2 linked regions of the Arabidopsis thaliana genome follow. The protein of the gene in region 2 interacts with the protein of the main gene of each other region in a biochemical or structural test. Each region holds a gene or a part of one and is shown on either strand. Other genes may lie near its edges.

What was found. Proteins that work in one complex are often made in the same cells at the same time.
Region 1: the proteins of MORF1 (region 2) and MEF21 form a complex in vitro, tested with the Arabidopsis thaliana proteins (one study listed by BioGRID).

The regions. Positions count from the first base shown.
Region 1 is NC_003071.7:8,841,910-8,846,977, reverse strand, and holds MEF21 (mitochondrial editing factor 21), read right to left. Parts: upstream 2,828-5,068; 5' UTR 2,819-2,827; coding exon 1,214-2,818; downstream 1-1,213. Other genes in the region: AT2G20550 (HSP40/DnaJ peptide-binding protein), read left to right, coding at 1-283, 492-927; PHB6 (prohibitin 6), read right to left, coding at 3,191-3,385, 3,519-3,731, 3,829-3,999, 4,111-4,227, 4,514-4,678.
Region 2 is NC_003075.7:10,843,127-10,848,092, forward strand, and holds MORF1 (multiple organellar RNA editing factor), read right to left. Parts: upstream 3,022-4,966; 5' UTR 2,960-3,021; coding exon 2,592-2,959; intron 2,374-2,591; coding exon 2,276-2,373; intron 2,187-2,275; coding exon 2,121-2,186; intron 2,035-2,120; coding exon 1,307-2,034; 3' UTR 1,276-1,306; downstream 1-1,275. Other genes in the region: PTAC9 (plastid transcriptionally active 9), read left to right, coding at 98-203, 318-465, 584-648, 735-863; AT4G20030 (RNA-binding (RRM/RBD/RNP motifs) family protein), read left to right, coding at 3,236-3,371, 3,629-3,697, 3,788-3,894, 3,974-4,120; AT4G20040 (Pectin lyase-like superfamily protein), read right to left, coding at 4,222-4,966. UniProt on the Arabidopsis thaliana protein: Involved in organellar RNA editing. Required for the processing of numerous RNA editing sites in mitochondria. Binds to the mitochondrial MEF19 and MEF21 factors, two pentatricopeptide repeat-containing proteins involved in RNA editing.

The DNA of each region.
Region 1 (5,068 bases), on a different chromosome or scaffold from region 2:
GAAATAAGGATGATATATTTTCTGAGTTCTTTGAGGTCTCTAACCCTTCTGGTCCGAGAGATAAGGATGATATATCTGCTGAGTACTTTGGGGTCCCTAGCCCTTCTGGCAGTGGCAGCAGTGGAGGCAGAGAAGGAGGAGGTGGTGGTGGTGGCACAATGCATCACGGTGGAGCTAGGAAGGCAGCTCCTGTTGAAAAAAAGTTGCCTTGTAGCCTTGAAGATCTTTACAAAGGAACCACCAAGAAGATGAAGATCTCTAGAGAGATTGCTGGTGTCTTTGGGTAAGTCATGACCATTCCATTTCTTATTTGTGAACACCAAGTGGAACTCTTTAGGTTAGCCACTCATCTTAAGAAAGCGTTAGTTAGGGTGTTCGTTTGGCAATACATAATGAAAGCAGAACATTGATCATACTTGATAACCTTGTTGAGTGGCAAAAATCGCATATGCTGACCAGTTTATGTGTTTTCTTTTGAAAAAAACTTGCAGCAAGACGACGCAGGTACAAGAGATTTTGACTGTTGATGTGAAACCGGGGTGGAAGACAGGCACAAAGATCACATTCTCGGAGAAAGGAAATGAGCAACCCGGTGTGATACCAGCGGATTTAGTCTTCATCATAGATGAGAAGCCTCATCCGGTTTTCACTCGAGAGGGTAATGACCTCGTAGTCACACAGAAGATCTCAGTTCTCGAGGCCTTTACCGGCTACACCGTCAACCTGACTACACTTGATGGTCGGAGACTGACCATCCCAGTCAACACTGTGATCCATCCCGAGTATGTGGAAGTGGTTCCAAATGAAGGAATGCCGTTGCAGAAAGACCAGGCTAAGAAAGGCAACTTGAGGATCAAATTTAACATCAAGTTCCCTACAACGTTAACCTCAGAGCAGAAGACAGGATTGAAGAAACTTCTCGGATGAATGGAGTTAAAATCAGCCCAGTCCAGTTAAAATCAGCCCAGTCCAGACAAAACAATGTAGAATACGAGAGGAAGTATCAAAGCTCCTATATATTGTGATTAAATACTGTTGTGGCCTTTCTGATCGATTTGTAGCATATGTATGAATGAGTACTGTTGTGACCTTTATGATCGATTTGTAACGTATGTATAATTAAATACTGTTGTATATTTCTGATCGATTTGTAACATATGTATGATTGAAGACGCCTAATAAGTTTGCTACTTCTTCTATAATCCAAACGCTTCTAAACTATGCCTATAAATGCAAGAGCATTGTTGTTTGTAATCACATCCTGATCTTGATGTGAAGTAAACAACTGCAGCACTATAGATATCTCAGTCCAAAAAGGTTTACTGTTATCTCCTGAAACGAATTCCTGAACAATGTTGTTCACTTCTATCAAACTACCACCTGGCGTTTTCTTCATATTTTCGTTCCTTATCATCTTTCTCAATCTCGAAACATCCTCCCATTTTCCCAAATCTGCGTAAATATTGGCAAGCAAAACATAATTTCCCATATCCTCCGGCTCTAGCTCCACAAGATGATCCATTGCAACCAGAGCAACATCAAGATTGCCTGGTGTTCTGCAAGAGCTCAACAATGAACCCCATATCTTCGAGTCGGGTTTCATCGGCATTGTCTTTGTTATTTCAACAGCTCGTTCTAGTTTTCCTGCTCTTGCCAAAACATCAATCAAACAGCCATAGTGTTCGATCTTAGGTTCTATTTGATAATCTTGTCTCATCATATCAAAATACCTCAACCCTTCTTGCCACATACCAACATGTGAACAAGCTGATAAAAGACCAAGAAATGTGATCCCGTTAGGCTTCACCTTCGCTCTCTGCATTTCATTGAATGTTTCGATTGCTCCGTGAGCGTTCCCGTGATATGCATACCCAGAGATCATCGTACTCCATGATATAACATCTTTCCCTTCCATTTGGCCAAACAATTGGATAGCTTGACTAATCACACCACATTTCGAGTACATTTCAATAAGAGCATTGCAAACACCAGTTTGTTTCAGAAACCCTCTTCTCTCTGCATATAGATGGATCCATTTCCCAAGCTCTAGAGATCCGAGCTGCGCACACGACGGTAAAACAGAAATGAGACTGATCTCATCAGGCTCAATACCAGCTAACTGCATTTCACGGAAGAAATCCATAGCCTCTACATAACAACCAATCCCAGTATACCCAGAGATCATCGCAGTCCAAGATACAATAGTTTTATCTAGCATCAAATGAAACAAGCCTTTTGCTTTCTTCATCTGCCCAAGCCTTGCATATCCAGAAAGCAAACTATTCCAAGATATAACATCTCTCTCATACATTTCATCAAACACTTTATGTGCATCAACAAGATCATCAAACTTCATGTACATATCAATCAATGCATTCTCAGTCACAACATGGAACCTAGGCCCGAATTTGCAGAGATGACCATGAACTTGCTTCCCTAAATAACATGATCCAAGACTCGCACAAGATTTAAACATAAACGGGAAAGTGAACCGATCTGGTAACTCAAAGCTCTTCCTGAGCAGTTGCTTGTAGATTCTGATCACATCGCAGTACAATGAATTGTGAGTATAAGCACGAATTATAGAATTGTATAAGAAGACATTAGGATTCGATACTTGGTTAAAAAGACGAGTTGCATAATCCATATCTTCAATCTTATCACAAAAATCCACCATTTTAGTGACCATGAAGCTGCTTTGTGATAATCCATGTATGATGATGGAGGCATTGATCTTCTTCCATTCATTGCGGCTTTTGACTCGCTGTAGAAAAGGTATAAAATAGTTTTCAACTTCTCTGATTCCATGAAACGCCATTAAAGCTAGATTAGGAAGCTCGTGGTGGTGGAATCAAATTGGCTCCGACCTAACGTCGTTAAACCCAGATGTGTGTCTCTCGGGGTTCACCAAACTTAGGCCAAAAGCCCAATTCTCATTTTCAGGCCCATTTGTTTGATCTTTTTCACAGCCTATTTTCCAGCTTTGTGAACATCATTATTACCAAATGTAAACAACTTGTAAAAACATAAATCTTTTCTTTTCTTCTTGATCTCACAAAAGAAAGACTACAAACGCACGATAGTGTCTGAAATTCACAAGATAGAACTCATAGCTTTTGGTCTAAGAATCCGTGAATTGAAAATACGATTATGGAAGAAGAGCTCTGGTGTGGTTTAATCATATCATTCTCTACTTCTTCGGCTTCACATCAAGGTCCATAGCCTGTAGGTTAAGCAACAGATCGTTAGAGCTCAAGTAAACCTTGTTCGCCGACCTAGAGATGGTCTGTGCGATCTCTCTAGCTGCTTCGATCTTCCTCAGTGTTAAGAACGCTTGGTTGTTTGCGATTGCTTGACCAATGAGCTGAGCACTCTTGGCTTCTCCCTACATAAACCCATGCAGAAACATCAGTTAGCAAGCTTTAAAATAGTTCACAACAAAAAAGAAAAAAAAAAGCAAGCTTTAACACAATCTCCGGTTTTTAAAATGCTAGAAAAGAGAGAAACACTTTTCACACCTCGGCGCGGATAACAGCACTTCTCTTGTCCTGTTCAGCTTTCTCGACAATGAACTTAGCCCGTTCGGCCTCTTGAGCAGCGACCTGCTTTCCTTCTATGGCTGCCGTGAACTCCTTTCCGAATGTCAAGCCTGTGATGGACACATCATCCAGTGCAATGTGGAAGTTTGCGGCTCTTAGAGTTAGGATTTTCCTGATTTCTCTACTCACCGACTTGAAAAACACCAAAAAAACATATATCCATTAAAAGGGACATCAATTTACCATTGAAGAGGAATCAATAAAATGTATTTACAGCCAGTTGGCTAACCTCTCTCTGAGTAATAAGTTGGCTTGCGTTGTACTGAGCAACCACAGCTTTCAAGGTCTCGTGGATGATAGAAGGCAAGACTCTCTCGCGGTAATTCTCACCAAGGGACCGGTATACCTCTGGTAATTGGTCAGCCATAGGACGGGTGAGAACCCGAAGCCCAATCTTAACCTGAATGTTTAAATACCACACAACATAAGCTTATCATGTAGTTCACACGACAAAACCACACGACCTGATTATACCCATTAGTATTAGAAGTGATGAAATGAAGCGGAATACCATCTGGAGATCACGGCTCCCAGATGTGCTCTCAACTAGATAAGGCTTTGCACGAACGTCATAGATGATTGGCCTTTCGAACCATGGAATCATAAGGTGAGTACCCTCAGGGTAGACCTACATAATCAAGCAAGCAAAGATATACTATTAATGGCGCATCAAGATGACTTTTGTAAACGACTATCAAAACTAGACTAAGAAATCAACCTTGTTTACTTAAGCTAGATGCGGCAAACACAAGATTCACTACTAACGGTAAGCCTAACCTAACGTGAGCTATATGCCGCAAACATAAGATTCACTAGTAATGCTAAGCCTAACCTAACTTCAGCTAGATGTCACAACCACAAGATTCATTGTCAATATACAGATTCAGAAGAAACCAATTTTTGCAGGGACTAACCTTGTCTTTGATACCAACAAGCCGGTTAAAGACAATGGCTCGATGACCTCCATCGACATTGTAGAGAGTGTGCGTAGCACCGTAAAGACTGAGCCCCCCAATAACCACCGCAGCTATAACACCACCACCAGGACCTTTGGGAACTTTGACATTCTTAAAATTCATCTTTTCACGAACACCTGCAAATTTGGAACCCAATCAAAATCCAAGGCAGAAACAGATAAATAGAGAAACGAAATGCGTTTGTAGATTAGACCCAAGGAAAACTTGGATCAACGAAAAAGAGACAAAGATAATCTGCAAATTAGCTGAAACGAAACAAAAACTTAGATCACAAAATTGAAGCCGAAGAATCTGAAGCTTTACTCGCTTAAACTAAGAATTCGATCTATAATGAAAATGGCGAGAGGAAGTACCTGAAAATTCTGGAAATGGCGTGGAGAAGAGAGAAGAGAGGGGTTAGGGTTTAAAGCTCAGAAATCAGGATTTTGTTGACGCTTTGGTCGATCACGCATTTTCTGTTACTAGAGATCTTTGGGCCCAAAATTTGTATTC
Region 2 (4,966 bases):
GTATTTAATGAAAAATGTGTTTTCTTGTGAAATCTTTCTGGCATACATTTGTTTTCAATGCTCTGATTAATGGTTTGTTAAATGAGTCTCTAGCTAGAGCTAAGCAGGATATAGTCATTGATGAAGCTTCAGATTCTTGGAATCACCTCATTGAAAATCCTAAAGAATGGTGGGATCACCGGGAAAATAAAGTCAATGGATTGGTAAATGCCCCATGTGCTTAACTATTCATCCTTATCTCACTCGCAATCTTTTGATATGGTGTCTGCTAAATCTCTCTACTAGTTTTCTGACTTCTTGGTTTTTCTCCTACATAGGTAAAACCTAGGCATCCTGATTTCAAAAGCAAGGACAGTAGTTTTTCGCTGTGGCTCAATAAGGCTCCTAATTGGGTTTTGCCAAAACTCGAAGGACTCGAGTTCGATGTTCTAGTCCCTAAAGCCAGAGTTGTAAAACAACTTAAAGGTAAAGTTCCCAGTCATTTCCATGTTCCTATGCAACTATACAAAGAAAGTTGTTTACAGTTATGTGGCACTTGTTCAAGTATGTTTGTATAAACTGAAATCTGGGCTGATATGTGTAGGAGAAGAATCATGGAAGGACTTGGTTCAGAACCCAGATAAATGGTGGGACAATAGAATCGACAAGGTAGGATACCAATATCTTTTGCTCGGTTTTTCATCAATCTTTCCAAGAAACTGACCTATTGTCCCAATATCGTTTTTGTTTTGAAGAGAAATGCAAAAGCCCCTGATTTCAAGCACAAGGAGACAGGTGAAGCACTGTGGCTAAACGAGTCTCCTACTTGGGTATTACCGAAACTGCCACCAGTCAAGAAGAAACAAGAAAGTATTGTCTTTTAGCTTTAGAAACATTATCTCCATGTAAAGAGCTCCAAGTGTTTACAAAATTCATCATTTCTATTCAAAGTGGTCTTCAAAGTTCCGTTTGATTTTTGGTTAGTAGACTGAATACAGTAGCTACAAGTGTGGACGATTCCAAATGTCTCAGGTAAAGCAAGCATATTAGGTCTTAAAAGAACTTCTAGAAAGAGTGTTTCAATTTCACAAGCGCAACCAACAACGTTAACAAGCTCAACTTAAGAGAAAAAAGGACTAACTATTGTCTTACAAAGTAGAAAGATGACTAAATACTATTTACTGTAAAACTTAATAAAAGGCCTTTGACACTTCTCTCCTTATTCAGCTCAATTCACTGCAGCATGCTCTCTGTCTAGTACCTTCTTCCCTGTGGAAACTGAAACACAGGACCATCTCAGTAACAAATATGGGGAAAATGGGGTACTTTAATGCCTGATGAGGATATCAAAAAAGAAAGATGCAAGATTCATTATTGATCGAGATCTTACTTGGTCAGACCCGGGCTGGCCTGCTGGATTATTGTTGTTCCAGTCTCGATTCCTCTGATCTGCCTGTGGGAATGTCTGATTCTGCTCTTGTCCTGGTCCAGAATACCCCTGACCATAGCCAGGATTTCCAGCTCCAGGTGCAGGACCTAAGTTTCCAGCTCCAGATGCAGGACCAAAGTTTCCAGCTCCCTGTGGATTGTAATTCCTAGGTCCTCCTTGGTTGTAACCACCTTGTGGCCCTTGACTATAGTTCCCAGATCCACCTTGACCGTAACTGCTTTGTGTTCCTTGGTATGGAGGCACTGGAGATCCCTGGACTTGATTGTAACCTGCCTGATATGGAGGCACTGGAGATCCCTGGCCTTGATTGTAACCTGCCTGATATGGAGGTGGTGGAGATCTCGGGCCTTGGTTATAACCTCCTTGAAATGGTGGAGGCGCTTGAGTTCCCTGACCTTGTCCTGGAGTGGCATAGCCCTGTTGAGGACCATAGCTCCCTCCACCACCTTGCATTGGTGGTTGCTGACCATACTGTGTGTTTCTTTGGAAGTTTTGGGGACCACCACTTCCTCCTCCTGAACGGTCAAATCTAGGACGAGGTCTTGCTCTGCCACTCTGAATCGGTGGTGGCCTGTGTGTTATCACTCCATTCTCGTATTTATCTCCTGAAAACAAGAAACATAATTTTGTTGATAGAGTCCCAACAACAAATATCCAAAATAAGACCAGTTTGTAAAAAAAACCAGCTCACCTCCATACTCTTTGTTCTGGGGATCAATGTAGGAATCTGGCAAGATGAAAACCACTCCGGGTAGATCTGTTTACATATACCAATAACAGAGTCAATATCTGGTGAAAAAAGTTGAATTCAAAAGAAAACAAACATAAATGATTCGAACTATATACCCTTGAACTTTTCTGATTCTTGTTCAGTCATGATTGCTTGAAATCCTTGGTAAGTAGTTGTGCTACAAGCATACATCCTTTGCTTAGCCTCTTCCACGCTGACTCAACCATAAACACCAAAAATGAATCAATATAATCGTCTTAACCAATATCAATACCAGAAGAAGATACACAAAAATCAAAGCAGAGCTATATAACAGTGAATGGAACCCTAGCAATGGTAAAGTTCTCACATTTAAGTAACTTACTGAATGATTTTTGGACAATTTAGCCAAAAGCAACGAATCTAAGCAGTGACAAAAATTCATCTACTAACCTGATGCCAAGTCCTTGGGCGCAAGTTTCTTCATAAGCAGCGACCATTTCTTCTGGAGACTTAGGAGTTTCCTCTTTGGAGAAATCCATAGTGATAAGCCAGTGATTATAATCACATCCTTCGAACAACACAGTGTCTTCCGTGATCTCATCACCTTCTTTGTAAAGCTTGTACTGCCTCGTTGAAAACAGTCTCGCCGGTGCTCGAGTAGCTACTTCCGTCGAACGCCCTATAACGGATCTCTTTAACACCGCCGCCGACACAGAAGGGAAATCAGACGCTGGTGTGATCGAAGAGCTAATTGATCGGTTAACATAGGAAGTCGCAGTGAGTAAAGCTCGTCGGAGACGGTGAGATATCATAGCCATCGTTGCCAGAGAAATTATGAAGGAGTGGAGAGTATTCTGGAAAGCTTTGGAGAAATGAAATTAGGGTTTTTGTGTGGGTTTTACAATATCTAAATAAATAGTAAATTACTTTTTAAGTCCTTATTGTTTCAAATGTTTTTAGTTTCCGCCTAAAGTTTCAAATTTATCACTGGGCCAAAAAACTTAGGCCTTAGCTTTTTACTATACCGCTGTCGTTTTATAACTCTCTGTTTGTTTCTTCTTCTTCTCCCTCTCTATTTCCGGCGACTGTGAATTATGTGGTCGGCGACGTTATCTTTCCCTTCTTTTGTGGCTTCTTCATCTTCTCTACCTAATTACAGGAACCTTAGGTTTCCAAAGATTAAAGCTTCGCTCTTTAATTACCCTCTAGCGAGCAAAATCATGGTCAGAAGTAAGATTCAGATTATCTTTTGGTTTATATTTGAATTCGCTTCTAGCTGAGATTAGGACATGGTTCTGTTATTGTTCCAAAAGTAATTTATGATTCTGGTTTGATTGAAATTAGTTGATTTGAGTCAGGATTGTGACGGTAGTCATATGTGATAGCTCTAAGCTCTTGTAGCAATCATTAGTGAAGTTGAAGTTGGTTGTAACTTCAACTTGGTAATTACTCTACGGTTCTGATGTTTCTTCACTTTGAATTTGTAGATTTACCGTTTTCTACAAGTGAAGATTTTCTAAAGAGAGAGTTTTCAGCTTTTGGAGAGATAGCTGAAGGTATGTTTGCGGTTTCAATTTTACTCTGTTTTGTTGCTTTAAGGTTCAGTTTTATGGCATTGATATGTTCACTCTTATACTTCAAAACAGTTAAGCTTATCAAAGATGAGGCAATGAAGAGATCAAAAGGTTATGCTTTTATTCAATTCACGTCTCAAGATGATGCTTTTCTTGCCATAGAGACCATGGACCGTCGGGTAAAAGCTTCTTTCAATCACAAGTTTACATTTTTATGTCTTGAAATCAACCTAAATGTTTCCCATTCCTCTGTTGCAGATGTACAATGGCAGAATGATTTATATAGACATTGCGAAACCAGGTAAACGTGATTTCCAAGGACTGCCTAGGACTTCTGGTCCACCTGAGAAGTCGGATGAGCCAGAAGAAGCCGCTAATGATGAGGTTGCTGATTGCTGGTATTAGTTGTTAGTATCAAGCTCACCAAACTGTAACTGAACTTGTATAAATCAGATGTCAAATCATGCTTTCTTATTAGGAATATGATCAATGTGAAGAATGTTGTTTTACTGATAAGCAATTATTGACACGGTTCCAGTTACAGCTCTATCGGTTTCTACAACCACCATATTGTTGGAGACATTGGTCACTGCATTTGCAGGGATCTGTCCGGATTGAGCGAAAAACGAATGCTGGTAATGGTTTATCCGGTTAGGGAATACCAAAACAGGGGAAAAATCAGCGATCCATCGTGTTCCATTTGCGGAAACCATGGCCTTTCCGGTTGTTGATTTCAGCATCATCCCTTCTGCATTGTTTTGATCAATCACAACTTGATTAATATCATGAAACTCTCCTTCTAGCTTGACAATCGGGAAGTTGTTTTTGGCGGTACCGCTAAACATGTTGTTGACGATGTTTACACCGGAAATCTTCCCGTGTACCGATCTCAAGACGATGTTTGCATCTCCTAAGAACAAAGCATTGGTGACATGAACATGGACAGGGTCTTCTATGACTATACCTGTGTAATCAAGGTAACAATTATCTATCCTCGTTAAATGTGATTTCACTAGAATGCCAATGCCACCAAACCATGTAGCTTTATTGTAGCAATGCACACCCGTAACCATATTTGCACCACCATTCAAAGAGATACCGATACCAGCCGAGAAAATCACTACATCCGTAATGGCATTGTCGTTACTCGAGATATCGATTCCTGTCCCAGTAAATCCTCTTTCTTCTCTGTCTCCTCCTACCGTTGAATGTTGCCCCAAGAAGGAGTTTGAAATGTATGTCTCATGACCT